2 linked regions of the Pelodiscus sinensis genome follow. The main gene of each other region encodes a partner of the protein of the gene in region 2 in a complex. Links are inferred from orthologs where the notes say so. Each region holds a gene or a part of one and is shown on either strand. Other genes may lie near its edges.

The links.
Region 1: the proteins of KIF15 (region 2) and KIFBP are in contact, whole or in part, in a cryo-EM structure (PDB 6ZPH), measured with the Homo sapiens proteins. The link is inferred for Pelodiscus sinensis from reciprocal best matches to the Homo sapiens genes KIF15 and KIFBP. Residues at the interface, in NP_064627.1 of Homo sapiens: Leu187, Glu189, Ile191, Lys192, Lys193, Arg231, Glu232, Arg235, Arg271, Met280, Arg281, Leu282, Lys283, Glu284, Ala285, Gly286, Asn287, Asn289, Arg290, Leu292, Ser293, Gly296, Gln297, Ile299, Ala301, Val303, Asp304, Val305, Gly306, His312; in NP_056449.1 of Homo sapiens: Lys26, Tyr33, Lys36, Ile106, Glu109, Ile147, Ser150, Glu151, Glu153, Thr208, His209, Tyr212, Tyr213, Gln216, Gln219, His220, Phe224, Gln238, Glu248, Trp249, Ile251, Asn252, Thr255, Gln258, Phe259, Asn262, Tyr415, Val416, Thr417, Glu421.

What each region holds. Positions count from the first base shown.
Region 1 is NC_134718.1:28,668,227-28,675,117, forward strand, and holds the start of KIFBP (KIF-binding protein), read left to right. Parts: upstream 1-3,890; 5' UTR 3,891-4,204; coding exon 4,205-4,567; intron 4,568-6,891. UniProt on the Homo sapiens protein: Activator of KIF1B plus-end-directed microtubule motor activity. Required for organization of axonal microtubules, and axonal outgrowth and maintenance during peripheral and central nervous system development.
Region 2 is NC_134712.1:177,955,136-177,962,240, forward strand, and holds the start of KIF15 (kinesin-like protein KIF15), read left to right. Parts: upstream 1-4,094; 5' UTR 4,095-4,353; coding exon 4,354-4,372; intron 4,373-7,105. Other genes in the region: uncharacterized protein KIAA1143 homolog, read right to left, coding at 3,918-4,025. UniProt on the Homo sapiens protein: Plus-end directed kinesin-like motor enzyme involved in mitotic spindle assembly.

The DNA.
Region 1 (6,891 bases), on a different chromosome or scaffold from region 2:
GGAGACCAAACACAGAGACACTAGACAAATCTGTGTCACTGCCCATGATGGTTTAAAACTCCCTAAACTGGTGGCAAAATCCAGCAAATGTTTGCCAACTTTTTATAAACTTTTCTGTTGTTACTTCTCACCACTAACATCACTTACCAGTGGGGTGTACATGTAAATGACCTTACGACACATGGCAAATGGTAATTCACAGTTATCCCTCCAAATCAACTTGAGATCAGGGTGGTCAAGAATACCTGGGTCCATTTTCTCTCACTGGTCAAAGGAACACACACACGTGTCCTACTGACAACATAACTTCTATGTAAATCAAAGAGGAAAAAACAAGAACAAATCATGTCAAACCAATCTGATAGCTTTCTTTGATAGGATAACGAATCTTGTGGATAAGGGAGAAGCAGTGGATGTGGTATACCTAGACTTTAGTAAGGCATTTGATATGGTCTCACATGATATTCTTATCAAACTAGGCAAATGCAACTTAGATGAGGCTACTATAAGGTGGGTGCATAACTGGCTGGATAACCATACTCAGAGGGTGCGTCTTGACTGGCAAGATTTTGTGCAAACGCATTCGCTTTTGTGCAAAAACTTGCCACCTGTCTACACTGGCCGCGAGAATTTGCACAAGAGCACTGAGGTTCTAATGTTAGAATTCAGTGCTTCTGGCACAAATACTTTGACGCTCCCGCTCAGGGATAAGCCCTCTTGTGCAAGAATAATTGCGCAAGAGGGCCAGTGTAGACAGGCATCTTCATTTTTTGCGCAAGAAAGCCCGATGGCTAAAATGGCCACCGGAGCATTCTTGCACAAAAGCGCGTCTATACTGGGCACGGACGCTTTTGCGCAAAAGCACTTTTTGCACAAAAGCATCCGTGCCAACCTAAATGCTCTTTTGTGGAAACACTTTTAACGGAAAAACTTTTCCGTTAAAAGTATTTCCGCAAAATCATGTCAGTCTAGACGCAGCCAGAGAGTAGTTATTAATGGTTCACAATCCTGCTGGAAAGGTATAACAAGTGGGGTTACGCAGGGGTCTGTTTTGGGACCGGCTCTCTTCAATATCTTCATCAATGATTTAGATATTGTCATAAAAAGTACGCTTATTAAGTTTGCAGATGATACCAACCTGTGAGGGGTTGCGACTAATCTGGAGGATAGAGTTATAATTCAAAATGATCTGGACAAATTGGAGAAATGGTCTGAGGTAAACAGGATGAAGTTTAATAAAGACAAATGCAAAGTGCTCCACTTAGGAAGGAACAATCAGTTTCACACATACAGAATGGGAAGCGACTGTCCAGAAAGGAGTACTGCAGAAAGGGATCTAGGGGTTATAGTGGACCCACAAGCTGAATATGAGTCAGCAGTGTGATGCTGTTGCAAAAAAAGCAAACATGATTCTGGGATGCATTAACAGGTGTGTTGTGAGCAAGACACGAGAAGTCATTCTTTCACTCCACTCTGCACTAGTTAGGCTTCAGTTGGAGTACTGTGTCCAGTTCTGGGCACCGCATTTCAAGAAAGATATGGAGAAATTGGAGAGGGTCCAGGGAAGAGCAACAAGAATCATTAAAGGTCTAGTGAACATGACCTGTGAAGGAAGGCTGAAAAATTTGGATTTGTTTAGTTTAGAAAAGAGAAGATTGAGGGGGGAATATGATAGCAGATTTCAGGTATCTAAAAGGGTGTCATAAGGAGGAAGGAGAAAACTTGTTCATCTTGGCCTCTGAGGATAAAACAAGAAACAATGGGCTTAAACTGCAGCAAGGGAAGTTTAGCTTGGACATTAGGAAAAAGTTCCTAACTGTCAGGGTGGTCAAACACTGGAATAAATTGCCCAGGGAGGTTGTGGAATCTCCATCTCTGGAGATATTTAAGAGTAGGTTAGATAAATGTCTATCAGGGATGGTCTTCTAGACAGTACTTGGTCCTGCCATGAGGGCAGGGGACTGGACTCGATGACCCCTCAAGGTCCTTTCCAGTCCTAGTATTCTATGATTCTATGATTCTTTGTTGCTTTTCTGTGAGCCTCCATTTCTCAGATAGGGTGAAAGAGTGTCTAAAAGATGTCCCCACTTCAGATGCAGCCCATACAGTGCTAACCTGGCACATGGCCCCAGTCTTCCAGCCAGAGGCATGAGCGATGCCTATAGGTGGGTGTAGTTGTCTCTAGCACACTATGTCCAAAGTCTTAGGCTGTCTACACACTGGGCCACTTATTCCGGAAAAGCAGCCGCTTTTCTGGAATAACTTGAAAGCTGTCTACACTGGCCGCTTGCTTTTCCGGAAAAGCAATGACGATCTACTGTAAAATTGTCAGTGATTTTCTGGAAAAACTATGCTGCTCCCGTTCGGGCAAAAGTCCTTTTCCAGAAAAACTATTCCGGAAAAGGGCCAATGTAGACAGCACAGTAGTCTTTTCCGCAAAAAAGCCCAGATTGCGAAAATGACGATCGGGGCTTTTTTCCGGAAAAGCGCGTCTACATTTGCCACGGACGCTTTTCCGGAAAAAGTGCTTTTCCGGAAAAGCATCCTGCCAATGTAGACGCTCTTTTCCCGGAAATACTTATAACGGAAAACTGTTCCGTTTTAAGCATTTCCGGAAAAGGGTGCCAATGTAGACACAGCCTTATAGACAAGACCCAAATTTTTCAGCAAGGTTCTTGGGTTTGCAGCAGGGCAGTGCTGGCAGGCAGACACAAGCAGTGTCTGAGACACTGGCATTGGATAAGCCAGTAATGCATTATGTCAGGAAATGTTGGGACAATGTCCTTAGCTTGGGGCAGGGGAGGTGGCCTGCAGGCAAGAAAATGAAAACACATTTCTCTCAAAAAGGAAACTCCAAAATTTTTCATTTTGGGAAGATCGTACTGTTCCAGTTACATAAGAACATAAGAACGGCCGTACTGGGTCAGACCAAAGGTCCTTCTAGCCCAGTATCCTGTCTGCTGACAGTGGCCAGCACCACGTGCCCCAGAGAGGGTGGACCGAAGACACGATCAAGCGATTTGTCTTCTGCCATCTCTCTCCAGCCTCTGACAAACAGAGGCCAAGGACACCATTTTATCCCCTGGCTAATAGCCCTTTATGGACCTAACCTCCATGAAATTATCTAGCTTCTCTTTAAACTCTGTTATAGTCCTAGCCTTCACAGCCTCCTCTGGCAAGGAGTTCCACAGGTTGACTACACGCTGTGTAAAGAAGAACTTTCTTTTATCAGTTCAACTCCCTACCACCACGCTCCCTCCAAAAACCACATGGAGTAGCTGGCTGCCCCCAACTTATTCCTCTGGAAACCCAGGCTCTCCAGCAGCCTGACAGGTGAGCTGACAGAAAACCAACCAGGTTCCCCTAGAAACCTACCTGCCATTCATAGGGTGGATGAATTTCCTGTCCTGTTAGGGGGAGTATTATGGGATTTCACCCTGGGAGGAGTGAAGGCACAACACTTCTCACTTGCAAGAGTGCACTCTCCAGAGACTGAGGAGTCAGGGGTGCAGCTCACCACGGCATCGGACAAAACTGCTGGTCTTAAAAAGTTTAAGAAACACGGACCTAGCGGCTACCAGAGCCTTCTGTTGGCAGTAAGTGGAGACATTCAGTGCTAAGCTGCAAATGACAAAATGATTCCTTAGGGCAGTGGGTCTCAAGGTGTGGTCTGCTAACCCATCTTGCAGGGGGCCGTGGGGCTCACCTCCGCAGTGGGGAGCCGTCACCAGCGCTCCACCCCCCGCCGCCCAGGTTGGAGTGCGGGGGAGGAGTCTTGCCCCGCTGCTCCCATTGGCCGGGAATTAGGTTTTTCGTGGGGTACCCAAGGCAGCTCAGCCAGCTTCAAAGGGGTCGCAGGCGGGAAAGTGAGGCAGCGCACTTCGTGCGGGGAGGGCGTGCGTTACGCAGAGCTGCCGTTGTGGCAGTGTGACGAGCCGGCGCATTGTCATCACCATATGCAGGTCTAGGCTGCCCCTCAGGCGGGTGGCGGTCGGGCGCTGACTCATGCTCCGCGGCTAGGGGGAGGGGAGCTCGGATAACGTGCGCCGCCTCCTAGTGGGGGCGGGGCGTGGTACTAGCCGCGCGCCGTGACAGGTCAGACCGGACACCGTGAGCGTCCCTGATTGCCCAGCGAGAGACAGTCACGTGTCCGCGCCGGCGCGCGAGAGTGGCAGTTGCGGTCTGCGCTGGGAGCGGCGGGAAGATGGCGGCCCCCGCCGGCTGGGCCTCGCTCTGTGAGAAGTTCCGCAGCTCGCTGAGCCTCTCCAGCGTGGAGTCCAAGAAGGACCCGGAGAACGAGCCCTATCGCTCCAAGTACGCCGCCCGGGAGCTGCTGGAGGAGATCCGGCAGCTGCTGGGCTCGGAGGAGTCGGCCGAGGGCGCCCGTGCGGGAGAGGCGGCGGCGCTGCGGGCCATGCGCCGGGCGGTGGTGGAGTACGAGCTGGGGGTGAACCACACCGAGACCGAGGAGCTCTCTGCGGGCGAGGAGCACCTGCTGAAGTGCACTCGGCTGCTGGAGCGCCACCGCCTCTCCCGGGACTGCGTCTCCCTCTACATCCAGGCCCAGGTAGGGAGCGGCTGCCACCCTGGAACCCGCCTGATTGACGAGCTGCTGCCACAGCGGGAGGGGAGGGCGCCCTGAGGATGTGATTTTCTCTCTTGAGCCTAATGGTGATAGAGATGTAGCCGTGTTAGTGTGATGTAGCTGAAACAAAATACAGGACTATGTAGCACTTCAAAGACTAACAAGGGGTGTGTCTAGACTACATGCCTCCTTCGACGGAGGCATGTAGATTAGCCAGATCGGAAGAGGGAAATGAAGCCGCGATTAAAATAATCGCGGCTTCATTTAAATTTAAATGGCTGCCCCGATCTGCCGATCAGCTGTTTGTCGGCAGATCGGGGGAGTCTGGACGCGATGCCCCGACAAAGAAGCCTTTCTTCATCGACACAGGTAAGCCTGGTTTCACGAGGCTTACCTGTGTCGATGAAGAAAGGCTTCTTTGTCGGGGCATCGCGTCCAGACTCCCCCGATCTGCCGACAAACAGCTGATCGGCAGATCGGGGCAGCCATTTAAATTTAAATGAAGCCGCGATTATTTTAATCGCGGCTTCATTTCCCTCTTCCGATCTGGCTAATCTACATGCCTCCGTCGAAGGAGGCATGTAGTCTAGACACACCCAAGATGGTTTATTCGATGATGAGCTTTTGTGGGCCAGACGAAAGCTCATCATCTAATAAACCATTTTGTTAGTCTTTAAAGTGCTACATAGTCCTGTATTTTGTTTGAGCCTAATGTTGGCTTATCTCCAGATGGGGGAATCTCCAGTCACTCTAGGACAGGGTAATATTTGGAATCGGTTAGGCCCGATCCCCATTTGCAGACTTGGGGTGTTCCTGACCTTTGGCAGGATAACAACATAATCCTAGCCAGGCCGTGGCACATCTTACTTGTGATTGGTAAGGTGATGTAAGTGGGAATATGAGTTATTGAAATACTGGAATCTTAAAAGTTTCAGAGGAGGAGCGGAGTTAGTCTGTAACAGGAAAAATTTAAACAACAAATAGACTAGTAATACCTTAGGATATTTCTACACTTGCTCCCTAGTCCGAACTAGGGATGCAAATGTAGCATACCAAAGTTAATAATGAAGTGCGGGATTTAAATATCCTGCGCTTGATTGGCATATTCGCGTTCGGTCACCAATTTAAAAATCCACTAGTCCAAATTAACTCGCCGCGTGTAGATGCGGTATTCCGAAGGAAACCCTTTCCCTCAGATTGCACAAGGAGTAACAGTTAATCTGAAAGAAGGGGTTTCCTTCAGAATACCGCATCTACACATGGTGAGTTAATTCGGACTAGTGGATTTTTAAAATGGCTACCGGACGCGAATATGATAATCCCGTGCTTCATTAGCAACTTTGGTATGCTACATTTGCATCCCTAGTTCGGACTAGGGAGCAAGTGTAGACATATCCTTAAAGATTAACAAAACATGTAGATGGTATGAGCTTTTGTGGGGGCAACCCACTTGGTTGAACATGCAATGTACTGCATTCTGCCATACCGAGTGGAAATATATCAACTACACAAAAACTCTCACAGATCCAAACAGACATCATCTTTCTTTCCAAGTGCAAACAGATGAACATCGTACCTAAGGGACTGAGGGTGAAAAACCCACTGCAATCTACATATCCCACAGACTACAGTTAGCGATTATGCCACACTCTTGCAAAGAAATTCAGGAACCACCTTATCAGCATTTTATTCAACAGACAGAAGAAAATCAAGGAGGAGCTCTCAACATTAGAAACTATCCTAGAAAACCAAGCTTCCATACAGACTTCATGTTTTCCAGACTTTACTAAAATTCAGTAAACCACGTACAAGGATCACTTCATCTCCCTTTGGAATAAAAAGGACAATAAACTATCCAAACTCCTACATGCTTCAAGATCTCTCATTCCAGATACTTTCAGTTCACCTAGCAATATTGTCAACGTATCCAACCTCTCTCTTAGGACAGATTCCTCCACGGGGCTATCTTGAGGACTCTCTTTCTGCCCCATCACCCCTACAAATATAATTCAGTTCTGTGGAGATCAGGAAGTCTATTTTCACTGCCTCCACCTAAAGGAATATTTCCAACACACTGATGTACAATACACTGACCTTTCTGCTCTCCCCTGCCAATCCTACAAGAGGAAGGCTTCTGTGTGGACCCCTACTAACGGTTGTAATGAGAGTCTTGACTTCTACAACAACTGCTTCCACAAACGTGCTCAAACTGCTGACACATGCTGTTGTTTGCTGACTATAACATACAGCCTCAGTCATGCAGAACACAATGCTATACGCAGCCTCAAACAATTCTAACATCATAA
Region 2 (7,105 bases):
AAGGGACCTCACAAGGAAGAAACCGGAAAGGAACACCATCTACTAGAAGGCATGGAATGCGTAGTCCATGGGGATGGGGGTTCCACGGCCACCGCCCCCAAAAGAAAACAACGGATGGTAGTTGTTGGGGACTCCCTCCTAAGAGGGATTGAGCCATCCATCTGCCGTCCGGACCTGGAATCTTGAGAGGTGTGCTGCTTACCAGGAGCTTGCATTCAGGATGTGACTGAGAGGCTTACCAAACTGATCAAACCTTCGGATGGCTACCCCTTCCTGCTTCTCCACGTGGGAACTAACGATACGGCCAAGAATGACCTTGAGCGGGTTACTGCGGATTATGTAGCGCTGGGAAGAAGGACCCAAGAATTCGGCACGCAAGCGGTGTTCTCATCCATCCTCCCTGTTGAAGGGAAAGGACTGGGCAGTGATCGTCGAATTGAGGACATAAATGCTTGGTTGCGCAGGTGGTGTCACAGAGAGGGCTTTGGTTTCTTCGACAATGGGACTCTGTTCCAGGCACAAGGATTGTTAGGAAGAGATGGAATCCACCTAACGAAGAGAGGAAGGCGCATCTTCGCAGGCAGGCTTGCAAACCTAGTGAGGAGGGCTCTAAACTAGGTTCGTCGGGGGACGGTGACCAAAACCCTGAGGGGAGTGGCAAAGTGGGATACTGGGAAGAAATGCAGAGAGGAACGAGCAAGAAAGGAGTACCCCTGATTCGAATGGAGAAGATAGGGCGATCAACTGGTTAAGTGAGGTGTTTGTACACTAATGCGAGAAGCCTGGGCAACAAACAGGAAGAACTGAAGACCCTGGCCCAGTCCAAGACATATGATTTAATTGGGATAACACAGACTTGGTGGGATGACTCGCATGACTGAAGTGCTGTCATGGAAGGGTATAGACTGTTCAGGAAGAACAGGCAGGGGAGAAAAGGAGGAGTTGCACTATATGTAAGAGAGCACTATGATTGCTCTGAACTCCAGTATAAAGAGGGAGAAAAACCTGTTGAGAGTCTATGGGTTAAGTTTAAAGGAGCAAACAACAGCAGTGATGTTGTGGTTGGTGTCTGCTACAGGCCACCGAATCTGGCCGATGAGGTAGATGAGGCTTTCTTCGGACAACTGAGAGAAGCTTCCAGATCAAAGGCCCTGGTTCTCATGGGCGACTTTAATCACCCTGACATCTGTTGGGAAACCAATACGGCAGTACACAGGCAATCCAGGAAGTTTTTGGAGAATGTTGGGAAGAACTTCTTGACAAGTGCTGAAGGAGCCGACCAGGGGTCGTGCGCAGCTTGACCTTCTGCTCACAAACAGGGAGGAACTAATAGGGGAAGTAGAGGTGGGCGACAACCTGGGAAACAGTATTCATGAGATGGTAGATTTCAGGATCCTGATCAAAGGAAAAAAGAGAGTAGTAAAATGCACACCTCAGACTTCAAAAAAGCAGGTTTTTTGACTCTCTCAGAGACCTGATGGGCAGAATCCCCTGGGATGCTAACATGAAAGGGAAAGGAGTTCAGGACAGCTGGCAGTATTTTAAAGAAGCCTTACTGAAGGCACAAAAAGAAACCATCCCAATGCGTAGCGAGAGGCAAACATGGTAGGAGACCAGATTGGTTAACAGAGGAAATCCTTGGATAACTTAAGCACAAAAAGAAAGCTTACAAAAAAGTGGAAACTTGGACAAATGACCCAGGAGGGGTTTTAATGTATAGCTCTAGAATGCCAGGGGGTTATAAGGAAGGCGAAAGTGCAAATGGAACTGCAACTGGCTAAGGATGTGAAGGATAACAAGAAAGGTTTCTACAGGCATGTTAACAAGAAGAAGGTGATCAGAGAGGATGTGCGGCCCCTACTGGATGAAGGAGGTAACCTAGTGACAGAGGATGTGGGGAAAGCTGAAGTACTCAATGCTTAGTTTCCAGGGAACTATAGGCCAGTCAGTCTTACCTCAGTTCCTGGAAAAATCATGAAAGGGATCCTTAAGGAAGAGATGAAAGTGATTAGGAATAGTCAGCATGGATTCACAAAGGGAAAGTCGTGCCTGACCAATCTGATTAGCTTCTATGATGAGGTAACTGGCTCTGTGGACGTGGGAAAGTCAGTGGATGTGATATACCTTGACTTTAGGAAGCCTTTTGATACAGTCTCCCACAATATTCTTGCCAGCAAGTTAAGGGAATGTGGACTGGATAAATGGACAGTAAGAGGAATAGAAGGATGGCTAGAAGGCTGGGCCCAGCAGGTAGTGATCAATTGCTCAATGTCATGATGGCGGTCGGTTTCTAGCAGAGTGCCCCAAGGTTCGGTTCTAGGAACAGTTTTGTTCAATATCTTTATTAATGACCTGGATGTGGGGATGGATTGCACTTTTAGCAAGTTTACAGATGACACTAAGCTAGGGGGCAAGGTAGATATGCTTGAGGGCAGAGATAGGGTCCAGAGTGACTTAGACAAATTGGAGGATTGGGCCACAAGAAATCAAATGAGGTTCAACAAGGACAAGTGCAGAGTCCTGCACTTGGGACGGGAGAATCCCAAGCATTGTTACAAGCTGGGGACCAACCAGTTAAGTAGTAGCTCTGCAGAAAAGGACCTGGGGGTTACAGTGGATGAGAAGCTGGATATGAGTCAACAGTGTGCCCTTGTAGCCAAGAAGGCTAATGGCATATTAGGTTGCATTAAGAGGAGCACTGTCAGCAGATCCAGAGATGTCATTATTCCCCTTTATTCGGCTCTGGTGAGGCCACATCTCCAGTTCTGCCCCCCCCACTACAAAAAGGATGTGGACGCATTGGAGAGGGTCCAGCGAAGGGCAACCAAAATGATTAGGGGGCTGGAGCATATGACTTATGAGGAAAGGCTGAGGGAGTTGGGTCTGTTTAGTCTGCAGAAGCGAAGAGTGAGGGAGAGGGGTGATTTGATAGCAGCCTTCAACTTCCTGAAGGGAGGTTCCAAAGAGGATGGAGCAAGGCTGTTTTCATTAGTGACAGATGGCAGAACAAGGAGCAATGGTCTCAAGTTGTGGTGGGAGAGGTCCAGGTTGGATATTAGGAAAAACTATTTCACTAGGAGGGTGGTGAAGCACTGGAATGGGTTACCTAGGGAAGTAGTGCAGTCTCCATCCCTAGAGGTGTTTAAGTCTCAGCTTGACAAAGCCCTGGCTGGGTTGATTTAGTTGGGATTGATCCTGCCTAGACCAGGGGGCTGGACTTTGTGACCTTCTGAGGTCTCTTCCAGCTCTATGATTCTATGAGAACACAGCCTGAATGTGCACTATTTGAAAAGCTGGATTTGACAAGTTATGATGTAAATGTCAAAGAAATGTGCAAAAAGATGCAGTAGCAGAAGTCCCATTAAATACAGTCTGTATGATTCATGTCAATTATCAGTAATATTAAGTTGCATATTTTGATGCAATTTGGCTCTTTGGTTTGAAAAGGTTGCCGACCCCAATCTTAGGGCTTGAAGGTTTCCAGTTTCCCTTGTTTTTAAGCCGGTTGCTCAGTGCAGCAGGCTGTTGATGTAAGACGGGAGCCCCGATAACAGTCCTTGGCTCTGAAATAAGCCTTGACCTCAGGTGCTTCCCCGGGGCTTCCGTTAGGCCTGAGGAGCTCCCTTCGGTGGAATGCCACGGGCCCTCGTTGTACAGCAGCACAGAGATCGGGCCGGGGAGACTCTTCTTCTCCCTGGGCCGCTGCCCGGAGTGGGTGGGGGCCGTTTGTGTCCACGCGGGACACTGACGTTCGAAAAGAGGGCGAGGCTCCCGCACAGGCGGGGGAGGGAGGTCAGGGCTGGGAGCAGCAGGCGGGGGAAGCGGCCATGCTCACCTGCTTGAGGGAGCCCATCCCCGGGTCTCGGCAGCGTGGCGGGCTGTGGCCGGGCTCCCGAGGGGCAGGGGCGTGTCATTACCTTGGTCTCCACCGTGGGCCCCTCCCGATACCCGACCTCCCTCTTGAGGCGGCTCAGGAAGGCGGGCTCGGCCGGCCGCACGTACGAGACCTGCGTCTTTTTACTCATGATGGCGACCGCCGCGCACAGAGACAAGCAGGCAACGGCAACAGCAACAGCGAGATCGAACGACGCACTTCCGCCCAGGCCGGAAGTGAGAAACCGACCCGAGCCCTTTCTTGGTCACATGACGGGGGCGCTGTCTGACAGGCGCGTCAGGACGTCCAACGCTCATGGCCGCCCCGGTGATGACTTCATAGAGGGAGGCGGCCCCGCCCTCTCCCGACACTTAGCGCCAAATTCAAACGGGCCGCCATTTTGAGCCGCGGTTTGTGTCGGTGCTAAGGGGGGGGGGGGCGCGCGCCGGGCAGAGAAGCGGGGCGGCAGCGCGCGCACCATGGCTCCTGGCACCAAAGGTGAGAGGATCCCAAGGGGCTGCCCGCGCGGCCTTTGCTCCGCTTTGCGATGCTGCTCTGGCGGGGACGGGCTTTTATCCCCCGGGGCGGGGAGGGAGAGGAGCGCCCGGAGCTAGCGCCGGGGCCGGGTGTCCTGCCTCCCGTGCCCCCTCCGCGGTGTTTCCCACGTCGGTGCGGGGCGAGCAGCCTGGCTGAGTGCGCAGCGCCGCGGGGCCAGGCTGCGGGGGGGGGGGTCTTTTCCGTGTCCACGGCAGCTGCGGCTCTGGGGGGCGGGGAGGGGCGGCTGCCTGGGCGGACTTGGGGGGAAGAAGGTGGTTTGTGTAAAAGGAAATCTTGCCTTACTCGTCTGCTAGAAAACACTTTAAAAACGACACATTGCCGAGTAGCGCGGGAGCGGAGCAAAACGTGCAGAGGGTAGCGTGAGCTTTCCTGGGCACAACCCACTTTTTCAGATCTAGCGCTCTTTGAGGGAGTCAACAAACGTGGACGAGGGGGATCCAGTGGACATAGTGTGCTTAGATTTCCAAAAAGTCTTTGACAAGGCCCCTCACCAAAGGCTCTTAAGTAAAGTAAGTTGTCATGGGATAAAACGGAAAGGCAGCATGTCCCAGCCAGAAAGAAAACAAATAACAGGGCCTAGGGCGGAAGATTGTCAGGGGTGCACATAACGCACCCGGCCTGGGGAAGAGTGAGACACAGTGTCCTGTAAAAATGAGGAAGTAGCTCCACGAATAGCGGGGAAAGGGATGACCAGGGGGTAATGATGTGGGCGGAGAGGGACCTGGCAGCACTTACACAGAGCTCATGCAGCTAGAGTACATAAGAGAAAAAGCAGGGTGCCAGCTTCTGGCTAGTGCTGAACAAAAGTCTTAAACATGCCTGAGAGTAGCTTGTTATGATGCATCCTAGACAACTATCTGGCTCAGGAAAGGTGCAGCTCAACCTCAGTGTGGACTAGGGATGTTAGATGTTTCATTTAATTTAATTTAATAATCATGTAACTGTGCTAAATCTTATCAATTATATGATTATTTAATTATCCCTGGGGGCAGGTGAATCTGGCAGCCAGTGCAGTGCGCTCTGTGCCCCCTGCCACTTCACACTGCTGCCTCTGTATTAAATGCAGCAGTGCTGGGCTGCAGCAGGCCCTGTTTATGGTAATCCTGGGCTGGCCGCAGACAGAAGCTGCTCCTCATCCTGCCTGATACAGATGCGGGGGGGGGGGGGGGGGGGGGAAACAGCTCCGTGAAGCTGGTGCTCCTGGGGATGTTATGTGCCATGGATGTTGCCAGACAAGAGAGTGCTGGACCAGAGAGCTTCAACCTGTAGATGCCCTTTTTCCTCCAGATAAGAAATTCAGGTTACTAACATTCCTTTAAAATGGAAAATGCAAGCAGTTAGATAATTTAAGCTATTGATTACTTACTGACTTTGTACCTCCTCTAGGTCTGTAGGTGGTGAAATGCTATTCATTCAATAATTTTTTAAAAATTGGTTAATTGTCTTGTGCTGTTTAATGTGTAATTTTTTGGCAATGTTGCATATTAGTTTGAAAATAGCAAATGCTGCTTTATAAATTGATAACCTTGTTACAGATTGCTTCAATTAAGCATATCAGAGTTGAAATACTGTAGCATTGGCACATTTGGGACTATTTTTCTCATAGTGGAAGAAGCATTTTAATGTATCAAACATGCTCTTTCGAAGACTAGCCCCTCTGCACCGTGATGTCAATAACATGCTTGGATCCTGCAGTGGTATTTATTATAGGGTGTTTGACTAGCCATTTTATGCAATAGATGTATGATTATAGATTAGACTTGCTCTTGAATAATTAAATCACCATAGCTGCCTATTGTTGGAAACAACACATCTTCATGTAAATGGAATTTTGAAGAAATATATTAAAAGATGACACTGGAGAGGACTGGGTACTTTATAGCATTGGTTTTACGTATTTTGTTAAAGATTAAAGTAAAAATAAATCTCAACTGTTTAGCTTTCAATACATTACTTGCTAAGTGTTGTATGTAGTAAAATGCCTTATATTGCTTTAAAGATACTAGGGGGCTACCGCTGCTGCTTGCTACACTCACCAATCCCCCTCTCTCTAGCCGCTTTCACAGAAATATGCTGATGACATCATTCTGTCATGCACAGGGCTCGACAAATACACTCACCCGCTCGCCCACGGCGAGTAGATTTTGCCAGCTGGCGAGTGCAGGGGCGGACTGGCCCGGTGGGCCATTGTAACGGGCTGGCCGAACCTTGCACTACAAGCGGCACGGCCCCATCCAATCCGCCAGCTGGCGGAGGAGCAGAGCGCTGCTGGGGAGGGGAAACTGCGGCGTTTCTCAGCGCCAGACTGCCTGCGTGCAGCTGCAGCTTGAGGAGGCGGAGCGCCGGCAGATGCCAGGACGCTGGCGTGACGTGGCCCCGCCCATTTTAAAGGGCCGTGGCAGCTCGGCTCTGGCTGTGTTCTCCTGGCTGTGGCGTGCCCCACCGGCTCCAGTCCTGCCACGGCCCCAGCCCCTTCCTGGCGAGAGACTGCACCCTGCCGACCGCCCGGCTCATTGCACCCACCCCGCATCCCATCTGGCTCCCGCTATCCATTCACCACGCTGCCCCTGCACCCCAGTTCCCCTGCTCTCCCTCTGGCTCTATGCCACCCTTGCACCCCACACTCTGCTCCCCCCGATCCCTGCTCCCCCCCCAGCTCTGCTGCCAGTTCCC